Caenorhabditis elegans: one gene and its partners. The protein of the gene in region 2 interacts with the protein of the main gene of each other region in a pairwise test. Each region holds a gene or a part of one and is shown on either strand. Other genes may lie near its edges. The genes, in order: ceh-54, ceh-18, dcp-66 and K03B8.4.

Region 1 (4,827 bases), 2.3 Mb from region 2:
TGAATTTTTAAAGTTTCAATTGGTTTCTTTAGTCTGTCGCCCAATTATAAGTGGTTAAATAAGTTTACGACTAATATTGAATTCCTTAGATTTCACTTATTTTAGTGCTGATAATAATTAACTTTTGAATAAATTGTTTTCAATACAGGAGAAAACAAATGTGGTTCACAAATACCATGAAATTTTCCAGAGAAGTTGATGAAGAAGTGGCGTAATGAAATGATCGCATATTGTAGTGAAATATATTAAGATTGGTTAGTTTTTTCTTCAATCAGAAAGTGACGATTACTATTGAGTAATCGTCATTATTCTGGAAATCGGCAAAAAACCAGTTTTTCCACAAGTTTTTTTTTTGAAGAATCAGAAACATTTCAGAGGGTTTTGTTCAGATATTTATCTTTTTGTGTCATTTTAAGACAAAATCCTCATTTTTGATACTCCTTTAAGAATGCATTTGTTTTACCGTTTTTTAAATATTAAGTTTTGAATTTTTACACTTGCTGGGTTGAGCACATATATCTTCCGGAAACTTTATAAAATCATTCACAAGTGGTTTCATTTTGCAAACTGAATAAATTGGAAAGAGTTAGCATTAAAAGTTTCGCACTTTCCGCATTGAATTGATCCTCGGATTCATAATTGTTTTCCGAAGCATTTTTGTTAGCATTGATGATCATGTTCAGAGTGTTTGAAAGAGCCTGATCTGGGAACAAATTGACGCTTTTAGTTCCAATTTTAGGTGCCATTTCAATTGAAACAAGAGTATCATTAGATAGGTTTGAAGGGCCTAAATTTATAAACCAGGTGAATACGTGTAATTGTAAAAATGTGATATTTACCTGGAGATGATGCACTTGTCAAAGTAGTGCAATCCTGAGTTTTTTCTTTTTCACCTGTAGGATTTTTAGTGATTGAAGGTGGCTCGTATGGATGGCCAGTTTGTTTCTGCTCTCGACGATACTTTGCACGACGATTTTGAAACCAAATCTAAAAATTATTTATATAACTTCACGCCTTCCAAAAGTATCGAAACTCACTTGAACTCGCTCCTCGTGAAGTTGAATTTTGTTTGCCAATTTTTCTCGGCTCATAGTGTCCGGATACTGATTTTCTGCAAACACCTTTTCCATCTCATCGATTTGATTTGCATCAAACGTTATTCGGTTCCGTTTCTTTCTGTCAGGATTGAAGTTATTCGATCGTTTTCGCGTGATCTTTTTTGTAGTTTCAAATTGGGTGTCATTAAATTGAATTTTGCACAAAATGTCTTGCAGTGAAGGCGAAATTAAACTCTGAAATGCAAAATGTTTAGTTTTGTCTAAGGCCAGGGGGGAAATGACTAAAAACCATTCAGTTAGGCACTAAAATGCCCAAATATCATTTAAAAAAATTCAAAAATGATTGGAAAATGTTTTATTTTGAGTCAAAAAGGGGTGACCGAAATTGTAGGGATTCAAAAAAGCGACAGTGCTTCAGATTTCGCGACAAAATGCACTGACCCAGTTTTCCCCACTTTTTGAGTCGAAATAAAACATTTCCAAAATTTTTGTCTAAAATATTTGCATGAAGTTTAGTCCTTTTTCCACTCGGTAGGCGTATGCGCACATACCGCGCACTTTCCGAGCGGTTTAATACATTTGTTTTTAATCCGCTCGGAATGTGCGCGGAATCTGCTCAGAATGTGCGCGGAATGTGCGCATAATGCAGGGCAGTTAAAAAATGAGGAACACCAAAACGCAATGTGCGCGGAATGTGCTCATGATGCAGAGTGGTGGTGTTTCACTGCCTTTCGCTTGCAGTGTATTTTGATTGCCAGTGTCCTTGCTGCGAATTGAACCTGTGATGTTTTCCCTGAAAGTCTGAAGTCTTACCTGTTGAGACATAACGCATGCGATGTTAATAGCAGTTAACGCGCCATAAATATAAGCAAATGAGAAAGTCAATGGAGAAACATAGAACTAACGATAAAGCATTTTTGGCACAGTAATTCAATAATAAAGGATTTCTCATTGGCTTTTGAACTTGTTTTTCAATCACATATTTATGGAAAAATGTGAATTAAGTATTTTTCCGTTTTTAAGCGTTAATGTGATTATTTTACTAGAGAGAAATCATGTCAGCGCATTTTTATACTTTCATGGTAATTTAGAAGTCTCTAATTAAGTGAACTTTTTGTTCTAGAATTCTTTCCAGAGATTCACAGATAATTCAGTTTTACAACAGCTACATGACAATTGATTTTTCAATCAGGTCAAAAAGAGACTTTGTGTGATTGTAAAACTTCACAACCTCTTCAATTTGACTCCTGGGAAAACATTTGAACGCTTTCTTCTCCAGTATACATTTTCCCCCTAACTATAATAGTAAGCACATATCTAGATATATAGTTTTTAATTTGAATCACAATTTTGACTTTTAAAATGTGGGACATTATGCAGTTGTAAATCAATAACGATAGACGGCGTATATTTACAACCTGTTAACCCAAATATAATATTTCTGAAAACATATTTCAACTCTACAGTGACGTTGTTGGTATTTTACAACTATTTCTGTCGAGAATGTGCATCATTTCAAAACGAACTATGAATGTTTCACAACGTTATTGATGAATTTTTGGTTGGAAACAATACGCGGATTTGTTTTTGAATGAGAACTATTAAAACCATTTCTCTTGGCTCTAATTTTCAAATATCAGAAATACTATTAAATATAGACTCGGACATAAAATTTAAACAATGCTATAATAATTTAGAAAGCAGAAATTGAGCATTAGTTGTAGATTATCTAAGTCAATGTGCGCAGAATCGGCGCGGAAGTTGCGCGGAATATGCGCAAAAGACTAATGGTGGGGAAAATGGCCACATCGAAGGCAATGTGCACTGAATGTGCGCGGAAAGTGCGCTGAATGTGCTCAGAATGCATGATTTCTGGATGAAAAAACACACCAAAACCAATGTGCCCAGAATCTGCGCGGAAAGTGCTCAAACGGCTAGCGGTGGAGAAAATGGCCACGCCAAGGGCAATGTGCGCTGAATGTGCGCGGAAAGTGCGCGGAATGTGCGCATACGCCTACCGAGCATTATAGAAATGAGTTTTCATAATTTCCCCGCAGACTATACTTGACCTTTAAAATTATTGATAAAGGTGTGAGAACGTACCTTAAGTTGCTCCATTTGTAAAATTTTGATTTTCAAATATTAATAGAAGAACAAACTGAAAATTATTAGATTTTTAGCAAATAGATAAAATTACAAATTTCATTAAAAAGTTAATCCTCCAAAAAAACCAAAAAGATCGCCTTAAGTCTATTACGTACAAATTTACATACAATAAAATGTCAACTAAAAGTCAGAAAAATATAGGCTTATAGTGGGATTACGGGATCAATAATGTTATTTCAAGGTGTAATGGCGTCAACGGCGTATCCTGTGTTATGTAATCTCCCTATCACCAATAGTATAGATAATGCGCTTATTCAAAGTGAGCGGAAACTTTCTGTTTCCGGAACAGCAAAAACACACGAAAAGAGTGAGCATCGGAAGTAGTTGTCGAGATATTATGAAATTCTAATCTGTTTTAATAAAGAGATGCTGATATATATTGTACAAAATCAAATGATTATTCAAAAACATTTTCATTTAAAAACAAAATTTTCAAAAAACACTGGAAATCTTATACTTTTAAAAAATGGCAAAAATTCATCAGTATATAATACCAATCTGGTTTGCTCAAGAATCTGGCTGAAAATTATACTGAAACCAGAAGATATCATGCAAATCTCAGAGCATATAGAGAAACAAAAAGGGGTAATTTGTACTAATAGTGGCACGAGGCAAGTAGTTTCTAACCTGAATTCACTCTGTGACAGGTGTGATCAGAACTAGGACGTGTTCGTAATAATGTAGTCAAAAAATTCGAAATATTATATTTTCATACTAAAGCTATAGTTTGACGACAACGACTTTCGGATGTTCATTGTCTCGCGCTTACTGCAGATTAAATTACAAAGGTTATAAGATCTGTGAAAAAAGAGGAAAGAGAACACGGATGTTTCCATTTTAGTCTTCATAATGGTTTTCCCGCAGTAAATGTCAATCCGATGAACCTTGACGATTAGCATAATCTCCACGCTGATGAGCAGAGTAATGATTTATGAAAGTGGATGAATATGCTTATTAGATTTCAAGTTGAGCATATACGAGCAAGAGCTTGATGGAATTAGGCTATTGCGGGAAAACAGGAAATAGTCCTTTAGTTTCTGGTGAAACCAAGCGCCCATTAGAAAATTCTATGAACAGAAGTGAAGCCATTGATAATGTGGCCTATTAAAAGTATTCCCTGAAATTAATTATTTACCGCCAGAAAAACTAAAATACTTATTTATGTTGCACAACAAAATAAGTATTGCGTTGTCTTATTCAAAATAACTCTGACAAATGAGAAATAAAAAATTGATACTAAAATAGTTTTTTTTTCAAAATCTGAAAATCAAAATGTATAACATTTAAAATCAGATTTTAAAAGCACAGAATAAGCGTTCAATTAAGAATATTTTTAACGAAATGGTAGAGTTGCAAGCTTTTTTATTGCACTACATAATTCAAACAGACTTTGAGATATTAAATTTCACATTATAGATTTTAACATAATTTTTAGAGTTATTTCAAGATTAATTTTCAGTGGAAAAAATTGAAGACGCGTGAAAATTTTTTTGAATTTTTGGTTTCAGAAAAATAAAAAAGTGGTAAGGATTGCTAAAATCATCTATTTTGTCATACTCTGCCGGAAATTGATTTTTATTTAATCACATTCCTTTTCCGGTTT
Region 2 (4,920 bases):
CGACGGGTCATGATACTTATTGAAAAATGCTGCAGCATGATTGGGTCAGCCAACCTACTTTCTTTATTTCCAGAGGTCTCTAATTTTGAAAAAAAATTGAGGATGCTCAAAAATGTTCAGAGCTGCTGTAGTTTGATACAATTTCAATGTGAATATAGAAGTTATGAAAATTAATTACAAAAGTAAAGGAAAAAAGAACTGAAAATACATTCAAAAATTTTGTTTTTTAATTAAAAAAAAATGATAAAATGACCTGACTGAACCTTAATCCAAAATTAAAATACTACGAAACAAAAAATTTTTACAGCGTGGGAAAAGTTGGAAAACGTGAGAAGAAAAGGCTTGAAATTTAACAAATTTTAGTAATTAGAAAATACACTTTTGTGCTAAAAAGGTATGTATAAAAAGTGAAGCAGTTTATATACAGTGGCAGTCGCTGAAAATAGTTAGCGACCGTCATCTCAATACTGTTTTTTCCAAATATCTTTTCGGTCAAAAATGATAAGGAATATCTAGTTGAATCAATTTCTAAAGTTATTTTTACGATATTTTTTTAGTTATTTCTTTATGAAACGGTCATGAAAATAGACATTAAAAGTTCTAATAAATAAAATTTAGAACATTTATTCAAAAATGTTAATCTTACTGTTTCGAGCCCTTTCTTAAAATTAACTATGCAGAATTTCTAGATACAGAAGAGTAAAATAAAATAATATGTACACATTAACAATAACAGTAAAAATCTATGTTAAAAAATAAATTAAAAAAATACTTTTTAAATAAGACGATGGTTTAAATTTTTATCCATATTTGAAAATGTAATTTTTGAGACAGGCAACAAACTGGTTCGTTTGGAATTTTGCACTAAAAACTAAAAATTGTTTTTTCCCTAATAAGATGATTAAAGATAAAAAATAGGATCATGCCCAGAACAGTAAATTAACAGTTTAAATTAAAATTTTTATCTTGACGAATCACTAAATTTCCCAAGATTTCGCCTAAAAAAAGGACCAATATGAAAAGTTGAAAACACAGAACGACGCGGCTCGGCTTTCTCCTCTGCCTACTTTTAGTTTTGTCCTACATCATAAACAAGGGCCAACTCCCGAATCTGCTTATCTCGATACCCGCATCTCTTTTCCTTTTTAGCCACCCCTTTATTGCATTATCCCACACTTTCATTGCACTGCTTCATCTTGAGAAAGCAAATGGATGCGATGGGCTGGGATGGCCGAGTTGAATTGGAAAGGTCTGATTTTGGGTCCGATGAGAGTGGAAAAACATTACTGACTAATTTAGATGTGTGGTATTTTATAACTATTTTCATAGCTTTTTTAATCATTTTAGTATATATAAAGTTTTATGAAACAGCTTAAATTTTTTTTTTCACTGATTGCAAATAAAAACGTATTTGAGAAAAAAGGTAACTTTAAAAGCCAATTGGAAAGCAGTTTGTTTTCAAAAGACTCACCTCTTCTTCCTCTTCTTCGACCACTTCTTCTTCTGGGATTACTTCGTCTTCAGTGATGATCCTCTTCACCGGTCGACTTTTTCGTTTGCTGGCTCCCGACAAAGATGGACTGACACGTTCTGTGACAAGGCAACCACCATTGGCTTCTGAAAAATGTGCACAAGAAATATGGAGCAGCATCTAGTCAGAAAAGTTCCTTTTTTGAGCAATCAGAACATGTTATCTCATTTTCACGATGCCAATCAAATTCGCGCAGAAGTTTTTTTTTTCGAAAGCTAACATCAACGACGCTGAACTTGAGTTAATCTGTGTAAGTAGTGGAACGCGAAAATAAGGACACACGGAACGGTGATCAATAGATCAAGTTTTGATAGTACTTTCACTACTGTGATTTTTCAATGAAATGATAAACTTTTAATTGATAATTTGGAGTTACTTATTTTGTGTACATTGTTCTACAAATCAACTTACAGTATTTAATAACTGATCAACGTTTCAGTGAATGTAATTGTCAAATAACTCATTCTAACAATTTTTATAATACTCTAAGATGGCCGAATATCAAAATAGAACACTCCATAATTATTTTGGTGAAAATTCAAGAAAAACATTTGAGCATTGCTACACTTACATACATGTTTTCAAAATGTTAGGTCAAAACTAAATTTTAACCACTCTTTGACTGTAAAAAAATTGAAAATTCTTTCAAAATGTTTACTGTAAAATTTTTAGCGCTATGAAACCGCTTTTTAAGTGTAAATGAGTTTTGGAAAATGTTTACCGTCAAACTTTAAATTTTTACAATTTTTTTGAAAAGCTGGTAGCGTAACATTGGAAATTAATTTTTGTCTGAAGTGATTTCATATCGAGTATCCAAAATTTATTTTAATGTTTTGCAAGTATTATAATTTTTTGAATTTCTGACAATTTTCTATACAGAAAAATGCATTCAAAAATTCAAAAAAACTTTTGACCCTTATTTTCTCAAAAGTTATTTCTGGAGTTGTTAAAACTAAAGTTGATAATTTTGAGTTTGCTACTCCAAAAAATATTTAATTATTTTATACATACCATTTCGATTTTAGTATACACATGAATTAGTTTCTTAATGTACATATATTTCATTTTCAGGCTCAAAAAACAAGAAAAAACCCAACAAAACTGTTTTGCTCAAAAGTGCAAAAAGTTTCACTTTTTCATCAAAAAACCCATACAATTTTTGAAAAACGCCTAATTTTTTTTTTTTTTTACACAAGTGAATTTGGATTTTAAAACTGCAAAAAAAGAGCATCTGACCAACATTTTTAAAAAATTGTTGCGTCCAGGTAGACAATCATCGCCTATAACATACCGTTGTCATTAGCTTTTCACGAAAATCAGTCAAAATGAATTATTACAGCAACGCGCTTGATTTGTGACCAGACTCCGAAGAGTCGACAATTAGAAAAAGAAACGGATATTGATAAAGCATCACCTACCGAATACTTCTGCGAGAAATTGAAACGTGTTCTCCAAGGTGTTCATATTTCTTGCATTGATGATATGTGTTGTGAGGATGATGATAGAGACTTTTTACGTCTGAAACAGAGACACTGTTGGATAAGACCGACAGAGAATGTGGTTTTGATAGATGAAAATTAAAAATAAATCGAAACTGTATAAGCTGGAAGGTGAATGAAGGTATGACGAATCAGAAAAGATTGACTGAGAAAAGAGAATCGAGATAAACAAAATGTAATATTCCGTCAATTGAGAAAAGAAAATGAAGAATGTGTTTCATGTGAGCAAATCGGCGGCATGGATCAAGCGAAACGCGTGGGGGCCACTCATTGCCGACGAGGGTGATCGCATCGGCGATTCAGGAAAATGAGCCACCCTAGAAGTTGTAATATTGGCATAAAATCAACCACTCTCGGGGTGGGGAGGAAAAGCCGAGCGGCACCTAACTAGCTGACAGCCAAGCGTTCTAGTGCGACTTGTGTCTCAGTATTTTTCAGCCAATTGTCGCATGCGCCTAATGATTCGATCTGATTTTTCTGCGGCTACTGCTGCATCGCGTTCAGCTCTTCTTGTTATGATAGCTCTCGACGAAAAATGTGGGAGAGGAAGAGAAAAATAAAAGAAATGAAGTGAATTTCGCATAGGACACTTTGTTTAAAACAATTTTCGAGTCCCTGTTTTTCGCATCACTTTTCTTCTATTATCTAAGTTATTCTAATATCTAGGAACGAAACTAGGGTAAAATCTATCGCGTCCTAATTTGAAATTTAAACTTCGATGTTGCCGAACTGTATGAGATCATAAAGAAAATTTGACTGATAAGCTTTGAATAACACATTAGAGTATTAAAAAACGCCAAATTTGCATATGATAAGAAGAGAAATTGGTTCTGTAGCTCCGAGAGTGCCTATGTTTGTCACTTACACATCATTTTCTGAAAGTATTTGCATTCTCACTGTTGAGAAAATTTCTAGTTGAAGCTGAAAAAACAGTTAGCTCTGTAAAAATGGAGAATGTGAAATATTCAAAAAAGATTCTTCGAAATACATCTTGGAGATAAGATGATATGATATCTTGTGTATGAGGCTCACTCTTCCCGGCCATTACACTACACATTCATTACCTAGTCTTTTGAGCACCACTTGGCTCATGAATTCGAGTCTTCACAAAATTACGTAGGATGACAGACAACACAACTGCTAACAAAAAAGACGACGCCCCGCCGGCTTGTTCGGCAGTCAGGCACCGAGGCATTTTTGATTATCAAAAGATTTTTGATGGATTTTATTGAGTGATTGATTGTGGGGGGATAAAATGTTGATTCGGGAGGTGTTGTTCTGTTTGGCAAGAAAGAGACAAAGAATTGGGAAGGAAAAAGGGATAAGACGGAGAATAGGTAGTAGTATGAATGAAACATGGAGAAACAGATGCGATATCGAGAGGTCATCAGCTTAACGAAATGAGCATTGACACATGAGCCCTAAAGTTGAGGCAATTCGAAACGTGATGTACTTCTCTTGATTATCTATTATCTTTTCCTACAAAGTCCCCATTCCTTCAAAAGCTCCATTATCTTTTTTTGTTTTCAGCTGTACTGTAAAACGAGGAAATGTGGATGATCGCACTGGTCGGATTCATGTTTAGCCAGTAAAAGGCAAAAAGGCATTGCGGCGGCCAGATCTGTGGGCAAAACCGCGCAGTTGTTCAAATATGCATATTAGATGGCGTCGATTTGAAACGACGGTGCTTCTAGCGCTGCTCCTGCCCTGCTGACACTCTGGATATACGACATTTGCCTATGCAAGCGAAAGAATGCCGTTTGGCCGGCTCCCCCCAAAAAGCCAAATGGCTCTATGAATAATCACAATGAAGTCGTGGTGGACATGTATGTAGTCGTTGCATGGTCCCAAGGAAAAATGAATAAAAAAGTTGGTGAATGGCGGAGAAAA
Region 3 (7,717 bases), on a different chromosome or scaffold from region 2:
GTTTTGCACGAGAGAAGGGCAATTTTCATAAAACAGAAGAAAATCACATGAATAGATGACGACGCTAAGTCTTAAGAACATTCAGAAAAAGGAGAGAAAAACGGTTTAAGAATAAGTTAAATATGAACGAGAGAGGGGGAAATTAAGGGAAAAAGAAAGCGAAATAGTTATTTAATTTAGAAATTATAAAACCACATCCGTTCGATAGTTTTAGAAAAAAAACTCAACACCCTCTAATTTTGGAATTAAAGATGTATACTTCTTCAAATATAATCTGAACTTTGAACATCACTGAAATTGAAATATCAAAAAAAGTGAGCAAAATCAAGACTATAAGAGAAGAAGCATATTTGGTACAAACCGTCAATTTTTTGGAAGTTACAAGTTAGGGATACTAATCGATAATAGTGGGGGTGGGGGTGGCGATTGTGGAAATAAAAATAATCAAAGCGATGGGAATATGATTACAGGAAAATGGAGAATGACCGTGATGGAAAAGCACGTGGATTTTCAGATTTTCTCGAAACTTCGTCTGAATTTTGCAAAAAGGAAATTTTTAAAAAGTGTAGGAGAAAGAGAGGGAGAGAGATGCCGAGAAATCATATTTGAATACAAAAAATCATACAAAAACAACCCGGATTTCAATCAGAAACAAGTTTTGTTATGTTGTCGGTAGTGGATAGAGGAAAAGAAAAAACGGTTTAAGAATAAGTTAAATATGAACGAGAGAGGGGGAAATTAAGGGAAAAAGAAAGCGAAATAGTTATTTAATTTAGAAATTATAAAACCACATCCGTTCGATAGTTTTAGAAAAAAAACTCAACACCCTCTAATTTTGGAATTAAAGATGTATACTTCTTCAAATATAATCTGAACTTTGAACATCACTGAAATTGAAATATCAAAAAAAGTGAGCAAAATCAAGACTATAAGAGAAGAAGCATATTTGGTACAAACCGTCAATTTTTTGGAAGTTACAAGTTAGGGATACTAATCGATAATAGTGGGGGTGGGGGTGGCGATTGTGGAAATAAAAATAATCAAAGCGATGGGAATATGATTACAGGAAAATGGAGAATGACCGTGATGGAAAAGCACGTGGATTTTCAGATTTTCTCGAAACTTCGTCTGAATTTTGCAAAAAGGAAATTTTTAAAAAGTGTAGGAGAAAGAGAGGGAGAGAGATGCCGAGAAATCATATTTGAATACAAAAAATCATACAAAAACAACCCGGATTTCAATCAGAAACAAGTTTTGTTATGTTGTCGGTAGTGGATAGAGGAAAAGTAGAAATAAAATATCAATTGAAGAAACCGAAAAAAGTTTGAAATTTTCACTTCCTCGTTTGACGTTTGACAACTTCGATCAGCGCTTTCTGTTGTTCAGGTGTCAGTTTTTGAAGTTGTTGGAGAGCTTGAACATTCACTTGACCATTACTCATGAGAGCTTCTGAAATGTTTAAAACTTATTTCTTTTCGATCAATTTTGTAGATTGAAATGTTAATATTCCAACCAGAAAACAATGGAAAATCACAATTTTTTCTTTCTAATCTCGTAATAAACAATTTTTAATGTTCTAAATCTTTCACAAAATCGCCCAAAAAACACTTACGAATTAGCATTGATTGTTGATTCGCCTCTCTATTTGCCTGTGCCTGGGCTTGAGCCTGTGCGGCCTGAGCTTGTGCAGCCTGAGCTTTTGCCGCCTGAGCTCGTGCGACTTGAGCCTGAGCAGCTTGCATTGCTTGTGCTTGGAATAGCATGGCCATTTGATTATTTGCCATATTTGCCGCCCCTCCTCCCATAGCTAAAGCTTGGTACATTTGCAACTGGAAAAGGATTTATTTTTTGAAATTTCAAAAAAAAGTGATACCATTTGTTGCATTTGAGGATTATTTCTCAACATTGCTGTACTGAATAATTGATTCATTCCTTGCATACTTTGTTGTTGCAATTGTGCTGCAGTCTTCTTTGCACTTGAACTTGATGATTTTGGTGTCGAGTGTATCTGAAAATTCAAAATTAATTGTTTTTTCCTAACTTTTGATATTACTTAAAATGTCTAGAAATACTAATTTTTTAAAGTAACATCAAGCTTCTTCAATGCCTATTTTCTTCTGTTTGCATGAAAAAATTATACACGAATTTAGAAAATTGCGAAATGTTATAAATTTTTAATAAAAAGCTCATAAAATATATGTCTTTTTGGAAATGTTGTATTTTGAACTTTTTTAACTGTAAAAAATATTTTCCCAGGTATATTCCTCAATTTTGAATTATTTGGTTTGAAAATAAAAATCTAACCGGTGTTGACGTCTTGACTGCTTGTGTTGGTGTACTTGATCCAGTTGATGATGGAATTTGTGGTAATCGTGGTACAAGTGGAATTGATGAAACAGTTGCTGTTGATGATGTTGGTATTGTTTCTGAATTTAATTTTATTCGCATCGGGGAATTTGAATTTTTTTAAAAAGTTTTTAACAGCAATACAACGATTTTTAAAAATACGTGTGTATTAGTCCCAACTTTTTGGAATTAAACTGTTCAACTATTAATGTGACAATGACTTTAGGCGTCGATCGTCGTCTAAAAAATTTCGATTTTTTAGAGTTTTTCAGAGAAAATTTTAAAAACCGAAAAACAGAAATATTGCGTTTTTGAAAGTCGAAAAATCGGGAAAAAATGACGAAATTTTTTTGAAAGAAGAAAAAACTATAGATTAGCAAAATATTTGTAAAAAAAGGAAAATATTTGTATTAAAATTTTTCAAATTGAAGAATTGTCGGAAAAAATTTGTTTGGAAATTTTATTTAAAATTATATAATTGGTTTTTTTTTAAATTATGATATACAAAAACCCTATTTTTTGTAGTTAGTGCAAAGATCTATAGTTTTCAAAACTAATTCTTTTCATAATTTTAATATGATTTAGATCATTTTAGTTTTTTTTTCAGATAGCGGACACAATTTTTATACTTTTATATTACTATTTTAACTTTCAAATAATAAAACTAACGAGATGTAGCAGGTGCTGCAGCTTTTGCTTCTGCGTACTGCTCCAATTGTCCTTCGGCAATTTTCTTTTCGAACTCCTGTAATAACTTTTAATTCGTTTAATAATCAGTTAAATTTCGAAATAAATACCTTTTCTTGTGCCGTAATCTTCTGGAAAGCTCTCTTCAATAAAGCTGTCTGATCTGTTCGATTTTTCCTTTTTTGTGCTGATCGTACACAATTTTCACAATAAAGATGAAGATCATCTTGTGTACTTCCAATAGCTTTCCAAGTGTGAGCACATTCGGTTTTACATTCTTCACATTCGTATGATGGTCCGGCATATGGTCTGAATATAATTTTTTTTTTAATGAAAACATTTCAATTTTGAACATTAAAACTTTCGAGGTTTTTAGTTTCTAATGCAATTATCAAACATTTTTTGAGAAATTAAAGTCCGGTCTGATTTTTTTTCGTTTACAGGAAACCGAAAACTCTATAAATGTTCGTGTTTCGATTTTCAGTTTGGCTCAAAAACCTAAAACTCAACAATTTTTGAAATTTTGACTGTTTGTATGAAATGTGATACGAGCCGGAACAGAAAAAGTAATTCCGGAAATGATTCTGAAATATTCAGTTTTTCTGAAACCGTAAAGCGTTCGTTTTTCGCTTTTGATCAAAACCAAAAATCTAAAAATTTTCAAACGTTGGTAATTTTTCCTGTTTTATAAAAAAGTAAATCAAAATAAACAAATTGTTGAAATTGTCTGTTAATTTTCTCAACAATTTTTCCGAATATTTCTGAAAAAGTCTCCACATTTTTTCGACGACACCCGTGATCACAATGTGTTTTAACAAATCATAGTTTGAAAAAAAACTCACGTCTCATTAGATCTATCTTTGAGAACATGCTGAACCACTAGATCCAATCCATGCAATGCCAGGAATGCAGAAGCATTCGGATTCGGTAGGAAAGTGATATCATGAGGTTGACTTTTTTGTGTTGGAATTGTTGTCAATTGCTTATCAGCTTGAGCTCTGAAAGCCAGCCGAGCTGCTTGTATCCTTTGTGCAGGTGTCTGTTGATTTAGAAGTTTTGATTGTGTGATTTGAGCCTGTTGTGGTTGCTGTGCTTGTTGAGATTGTTGTACTGCAGGTGATGCAGATGCAGAAGCATTTGTTTCAGCAGCAGAAAGCTCTTTTTGCTTTTGAAGATTTTGATTATTGATTGTAATCAGTTGTTGGAATAGTTGAGTCGTTTGTGCTGGATTCTTCTTTGCCATAATGTATGCTTGTTTGGCAGCTGGTGATTGAGATGATAGTTTTTGAAGTAATTCGAGTTGTTGTGGAATTGAAAGATTCTTAAGTCCATTCATTGTTTTGTTATTTGACTCAATCATCGAATTCTTTCCATTAGTAACAGATTTTCCATTTGTAGCAACCGCTGGTTTATATGCTGCAGATGTCGCTTCAGCAAGATCAGCAGCTTTAGTTTCGGCGGCCAGCTGGAAAAAATATTAATACAAAAAAGTTTTGATCATTTATTTTTATTTCATACAGATTTCAGTTTCACAAAGAGTTTCCTTCACTTTTGTCGGTTTTTTTGAAAATGTGTGTTTTTTGAATGAAACATTTTATCAGCATAAAACTTGAAGCATTTCCTATTCTCAGATCATAACTCGCCGAAAATTTAACTACAATTCTCTCAGGGCAAAAATCCGGAATTTTTGCGAGTTTTATGATGAAAATTTTTTTAAACTATTTGTGAAGTTACACTTTTATCTAAAATTGGCGTTTTTATTTCTCGAATAGTGAAGAAAACGAACCTTGGTGATAGCTCTTGTCTGACTATCCTTCATTTTTCTCAAAACTAGCAATTTTGCCTCTTCTTCTCGTAACTGATTTTCAGCTTCTCTTCTCATATTTAAACGTTCTCTTAATTGTTCCTCATCCGGTTCCTTATTCTTCATTTTTTCATAATGATACCTCACAACTTCCATTTCACTTTCATGAATTGAAGAATTTTCACTCTCATCAGTCATTGCGTATACTTCACCTTCATTATTCGCACGAAGTCCAAATCGGAAACATGTTTGATCAAACTCTTTTCCATTTTCGAGTCTTCTTTTTTTTGGAGCTGATTGCTCATTAATTTCATCTCCCAACTCTTCATCTTCCATATCATCATCATCATTCGCCCGTTTTTGTGGTCCTTGTACAATATCATCTTTCAGTTTAATCTTTTCCTGAGCCTTCAGAGCACTTGCTCGTGTACTCCGCCGCCGTAGATCACTCGGTGAAAGTTGTAAATCATCGGTATCGATTGATGTTGAAGCTCCATTCAAATCTTTTGTAGGTGTTCCATGAAATAGAACAGCTCCATTTTGAATATGTGCAAGTGCAGCGACGGCTGTTGAAGCTGATTCTTCGATACTCAAACCATTTCCATTCTTTTCAGGAATCCCATTCATAGGTGACGATGGAACTTGTTGAACCTTTAAAAACATTGGGTTTAAAAAGTTATTCGAATTTTTTCAATTAAGATTCTAATTTTCAACTAAATTTGAGGTAGCAAAAATTTTAAAATTACACTAAAACTGTCCAAAAATAGACTGAAAATGCTTATTTTCTCATTTATTAGGGTAAACCTTCAGTCTTCTCCAAAATTTGTTATTTTTTGTGAACTGAATTCGGAATTCAGTAAGTTTTAATTTTAGTATTTAGATTGATCGAACTCGCTACCCCATTTTTAATGAAAATTACTTGACATAATAAATATTAAATTTGAATATTCCAAACACGAAATATTTTTTGAGTTCGTTTAATATAACTGTAAATAGAAACACCTACCTGTGCCATATTTATTGTATATAAATACTAAATAAATGGAATCCAGTCAAAACTCAAGTGGAGCGGAGCAAAATAAAAATCGATTAACACCGTTCGTCGAGAGCTTGCATTGGAGTCCAAGAGAACAACAGCAATCAGTTAGTGTTGAGTTTGTTCTGGAATAAAAGTTGAAATTATAATGTCACCGGCACTTATAGTGTAGTGTAAGAAAGAGACGCAGATTAGTAAAACAAAAGATTTGAATATCCAAAACGAGGTGGTGTCCGTGTGACGTCACATCATTTCACCCAATATAAAAGCAATAAGAGAGAGAAGAGAGCGCAGAGAAAATGGGGAATGATGATAGAAAGAAGATACGCAGATAGTGAGAGAAAAAAGCAAAATGTTATTAGGGAAAAAAAGGGAAGGAGGTTGAGATGATCATGGGAAAAATTAAGTTTTTTTTTCTTTTGAAATGTTTGATGAACGTGATCATCTACAACTCATCAAAAGCCACCTACTTTCTACTTTCTACTTTACTTTACCACACTACTTTCGTGTCAATTTTTCCAAGAGTTATTCATATTTCCCGTGGTGGAGAGTTGAACTCTTTTTCTAGTTTTGCTAGTTTTGCTTAGGCCGTACTGGAAAGATTCGCGAAACTCCATACAAAACAATTTAAGATTAGAGCAATTTTGAGATACTGATATTTGGAAATATTCACAGGTTTCTGGGTTCTTTGTGGTCAGAATCTACTAAAGAACAAATCTTTATTCAAAAATCGTTTAGTGAAGCAGAGGTCAACAAGAAACGACACAAACAGTGTTTTTTTTTCGAAAAAAAATTTAAAAAAATTTCTACACTTCTGCGACTTTAAAGGAGAGCGCATTTTTGTGAAATGGTCTCGCCACGCTAGAGCGCGTGGCGGGACCATTTCGAATAAATGGTCACCCCCTTTAAAGTCACAGTATTGGAAAAGAATGTTTTTTGTGTGCAATGCAGATGGTAATATCGTAGAATTTTTATAGTTAAAGAAAAATACAATGTGGCGAATTTTGTGAAAATACCAATTTCGAAACTATGAGGTTTAACTAATTTTGTACTGCAGGCTAGAGAAACAATACAAAATTATTGGTTCAAGGATCATAATTAGGTTGGAGATACGCAACTAGGTGAAGTCTCCGTAAATTTAACCTAGGATAGTCTGGAATTCATGAAACGGTAATCCACCAAAAACCATGTTAGCGAAAATTCAGTCCTGAAAGTAATATATTTGGAATAGATTTGGAAGAGCTGTGGACTTCTTTTCTCTTACAAAATGTTCTAGAACACACTAAAATGGTGGTGTCTTGCACCGACAAGTACGGTGGTAGTACTTGGCACATTCACAAATACAAACATTAAGCGCGTGAGAAACAAATTGAGATGACGGCGACGATGATGCTGATGAAGACTAGGATGAAGATTGAAAACCACTAGGAGCGGCTGAGGGTGCGTGGACGGACGGGGACGGACGGACGAAGAAGATGAAGGAAGGCGGAGGAGGACACATAAGTCAATCGATTATTTCTTGTTTCGCTTCATTCTACTCGAACAATGACACTCGGCCACACACACACACACACACCCTCACACACACAAAACGCACACACTCACTCTCTCCCTACTTTCTCTCTCTCTTTCCATCTCACACGGCCCGAACCTGACCCCAACTGGGATTCAATATAGGTGGTGCCAAGACGGCAGCAGCTGTCCAACTGAATATGCTCAAACGTCTAATCATCATGTCCTACTTGCTCTGCCAACATCGCAACCACTCTCCCCACGTCGGGAGCTGAATCTAAATTCGGTGTTGATTGAACACTTCTAGGTTCGAAACTCTATGTTTCGCGTTC
Region 4 (2,782 bases), on a different chromosome or scaffold from region 2:
TCGCACAATTTTCGCGCGCCGAGCGCATTTCTTTCGCACACACTACGCGCCCGGTTCGATTTTATTCTCGCTCCCGCCGATTTTCATATTGAAATTGAAATCTTAGATTAATAAGAATTGCATTTATTACAACAACGAACAATGGAAAAACAATTAAAAAATAAATTAACAGATTGAAGACAGCTTGGCTGCAGGCCAATTGATCCCTAGACGGCGGGAGACTGGTGTTGCTGATCATCATCCTCTCTGAAAAGCTCAAATTAATCTATTTAATTAAGTCAGTATATTGAAAAAATCAATGAAATATCTTTAAAAATAGACTTACACAATTATGCCCGTGAAACGGCAACTAGAGCAACCTATTGCTTCAAAAATGTTTTGATCAAAAGCTACGTATTTGCAAATATGTAGCTTCGCATCTTCAAAGCTCAAAAATAGTCTCATCAATTTTTTGTTACTTAATTTAATTCAAAGTTATCATTTCATGGTTTCCTATATGTCATTTTGTTATTCGTTTAATATTTTACATTGTTTTACTAGCTGGTTTTCTTTAGCAATAATTCGTTTTTTCTTTACCTGTTTTGAGTCCACATACTTCTTCTTTTTTGGCAATGGAGCCTTAATTTGATCGAACACCAAGATTTGCTCCAATTCATGTCGCTTCTGGTTCACCTTTTGGAACATGTATCTGAAAAAAAACTTTTTAATTTCTAGAACCCCCGAAAAACATTAATACCTTTGAACTCCTTCCTCTGTTTCAGGTCTCACGTAGGATTCAGCGAATCTTTCGGCTTCAAGATCCCCGCTCAGCTCGTTCATAGTCTTCAGGTCCGAATTCTGGCTCATCACCCAGCTTTTGATGAATTCTGCGGGCTCGGTGTAGAATCTTGCGTAGAAATCGCGGCGAGCCTTCAGTTCGTTGATCTGTTCGATAATATCATAACACTTTTGATCAAGAGTTATATCATTCCATAAATCACTTTCATTAATCTCATTCTATTCACTCTGGAATAGCAGGAGCCGCAGGCTGCTCATCGAGAAGTGGTGTTTCTCGAACATAAGCCAATTTTGGACGGATTGTCGTTCGTGTTGCGCGAACGGGGCGCGGAAGGGGTGCGGAAGGAGTGCGGAATGGGCGCGGATGGGGCGCGGTCAGAACGCGGACGGCGTGCAAAAACAGTTTCTCTTCGCGAACCTGTTACTTTCAGACAGCCTCATTGCCAAAACAGGTTGATATATATATATATATATATATATATATATATATATATATATATATATATATATATATATATATATCTCTTCACTTATATGTTATATATGTATGAATGATGTAGTTGATATATAATAATTGCCAATCTAGTCTCTTTCAGCTTTCAGTAATATGGTGCCACAATACTAAACGTATAAAATACAACAACGAGACATGTGATCTAGAAAATTAGTTTGAAGATGTTCACACAAACTACACATATCTTTTATATCTTTCTATTGGAAAATATACCTGGCATTTAGGGGCAACTTTCTTAGGAATGTGTGCATCGTGCCTCCACAATGCCAATGCTGCGAGTTTCCTAATGGAGACATTCTCAAGACATCGCCTTAACTTTATCTGCATAGGTAAAATGAACATATTTTATAACGTAACATCATTAGATAACAGTACGATTATTGATAGATTTTAATACAATTTCCTTGTAAGATGAACCATATTGTTCTCTTCTAACCTCATATCAGAATTTAAATTGAAGTTTTGGTTTTTCAGTAACTAGCATGGCTGCAAAACGTTTACAATTAACGTATAGAACAAACACAATTCACTTTTGTGTGAAAATATGTCTCAAAGCAATAATATGTTCGCAAGAAATTGATTAATACATCTTATGTAGACACTTTGGCAGTTTCAGAATACTCTTTTCACAATCCGAGCGCGCCTGTTCCGCACTCCAGTCACGCCCTATCCTCGCGCCAGGCGCATTTCACCTCTTTTCGCGCGCCAGTCGCACCCCCTTCGCGCCCCAGGAGGAGCCAACTACCGAGTAGTGCAAAATTATTATATTGCTTTGATTCTTCATTCAGTAAGTTCTATTATATTTTGAAGTAGTGAAATACAACTTATAAACATGTACTTTGAGGTACTGAAAAGCGAGAATTGATGCTTTTCTCCATGAACTTCATATCTTCACAAACTTGCGTGACTTTTGAAGAAAACTGTTCAATTCCTAACAGGGTCCAACTTGTTAACGGTAAAGGCTGTTCATCATACATTGGGATGAATAACATAGTACAACATCTAACATTTAACGATACGTGCATAGACGTGAGTTTTTCTTTCATTTCGACATACATATGTATATTTCCGTTTCTCGGCGTTCACGACCAACTTAATGTTTATGTGTTGCCTTAACAGTGTGAAAAAAGTGGATTATTTTCTGGTAGTGGTGGGCATTTTCTAGAAACTGCAAACTATTTCCAACTAAATCAATCATTCATTTCAAGTGATTCAAGGAAAACGTATCACTTTATATTTGTTGAGGTCAAAAGTTAGACCAGAAGTTACCGGGAATGTCAAGATAATTGTAATGCATTGAAAATGTTTTTTTTTTTTGGAAAGTTTTCGATGACAGGTACAGAAAACAATTTTTCAAAACTCGAAAATTTTCCAAACACGGCACACCGAAAGAATGATAGACAGATCTCAATCACATAAACTTTCAGTTTGGAACTGCTGTTCATGAATTAATGCATGCATTAGGTGTTATTCACACCCACTCTAGACTTG

What was found.
Region 1: the proteins of ceh-18 (region 2) and ceh-54 interact in a two-hybrid assay, tested with the Caenorhabditis elegans proteins (one large-scale study listed by BioGRID).
Region 3: the proteins of ceh-18 (region 2) and dcp-66 interact in a two-hybrid assay, tested with the Caenorhabditis elegans proteins (one large-scale study listed by BioGRID).
Region 4: the proteins of ceh-18 (region 2) and K03B8.4 interact in a two-hybrid assay, tested with the Caenorhabditis elegans proteins (one large-scale study listed by BioGRID).

Annotation. Positions count from the first base shown.
Region 1 is NC_003284.9:6,191,066-6,195,892, forward strand, and holds ceh-54 (Homeobox domain-containing protein), read right to left. Parts: upstream 3,177-4,827; coding exon 3,162-3,176; intron 1,293-3,161; coding exon 1,038-1,292; intron 988-1,037; coding exon 840-987; intron 788-839; coding exon 540-787; downstream 1-539. Other genes in the region: T13C5.9 (DUF282 domain-containing protein), read left to right, coding at 1-58.
Region 2 is NC_003284.9:3,854,749-3,859,668, forward strand, and holds the start of ceh-18 (Homeobox protein ceh-18), read right to left. Parts: upstream 3,050-4,920; 5' UTR 2,996-3,049; coding exon 2,950-2,995; intron 1,619-2,949; exon of another isoform or gene 1,618-1,618; coding exon 1,472-1,617; intron 1-1,471. UniProt on the Caenorhabditis elegans protein: Directs gonadal sheath cell differentiation and function. Also directs gonad migration and plays a role in specifying the differentiated phenotypes of epidermal cells during postembryonic development.
Region 3 is NC_003279.8:7,536,160-7,543,876, forward strand, and holds the start of dcp-66 (Transcription factor dcp-66), read right to left. Parts: upstream 6,001-7,717; 5' UTR 5,853-6,000; coding exon 5,844-5,852; intron 5,489-5,843; coding exon 4,820-5,488; intron 4,499-4,819; coding exon 3,876-4,498; intron 3,343-3,875; coding exon 3,144-3,342; intron 3,101-3,143; coding exon 3,016-3,100; intron 2,427-3,015; coding exon 2,305-2,426; intron 2,009-2,304; coding exon 1,874-2,008; intron 1,830-1,873; coding exon 1,613-1,829; intron 1,450-1,612; coding exon 1,334-1,449; 3' UTR 1-1,333. UniProt on the Caenorhabditis elegans protein: Transcription factor which binds to the 5'-CCATACATTA-3' motif found in the promoter region of pgp-12 and activates its expression in the excretory cell.
Region 4 is NC_003283.11:11,394,279-11,397,060, forward strand, and holds K03B8.4 (uncharacterized protein), read right to left. Parts: upstream 847-2,782; coding exon 737-846; intron 689-736; coding exon 508-688; downstream 1-507. Other genes in the region: Zinc metalloproteinase nas-18, read left to right, coding at 2,156-2,320, 2,719-2,782.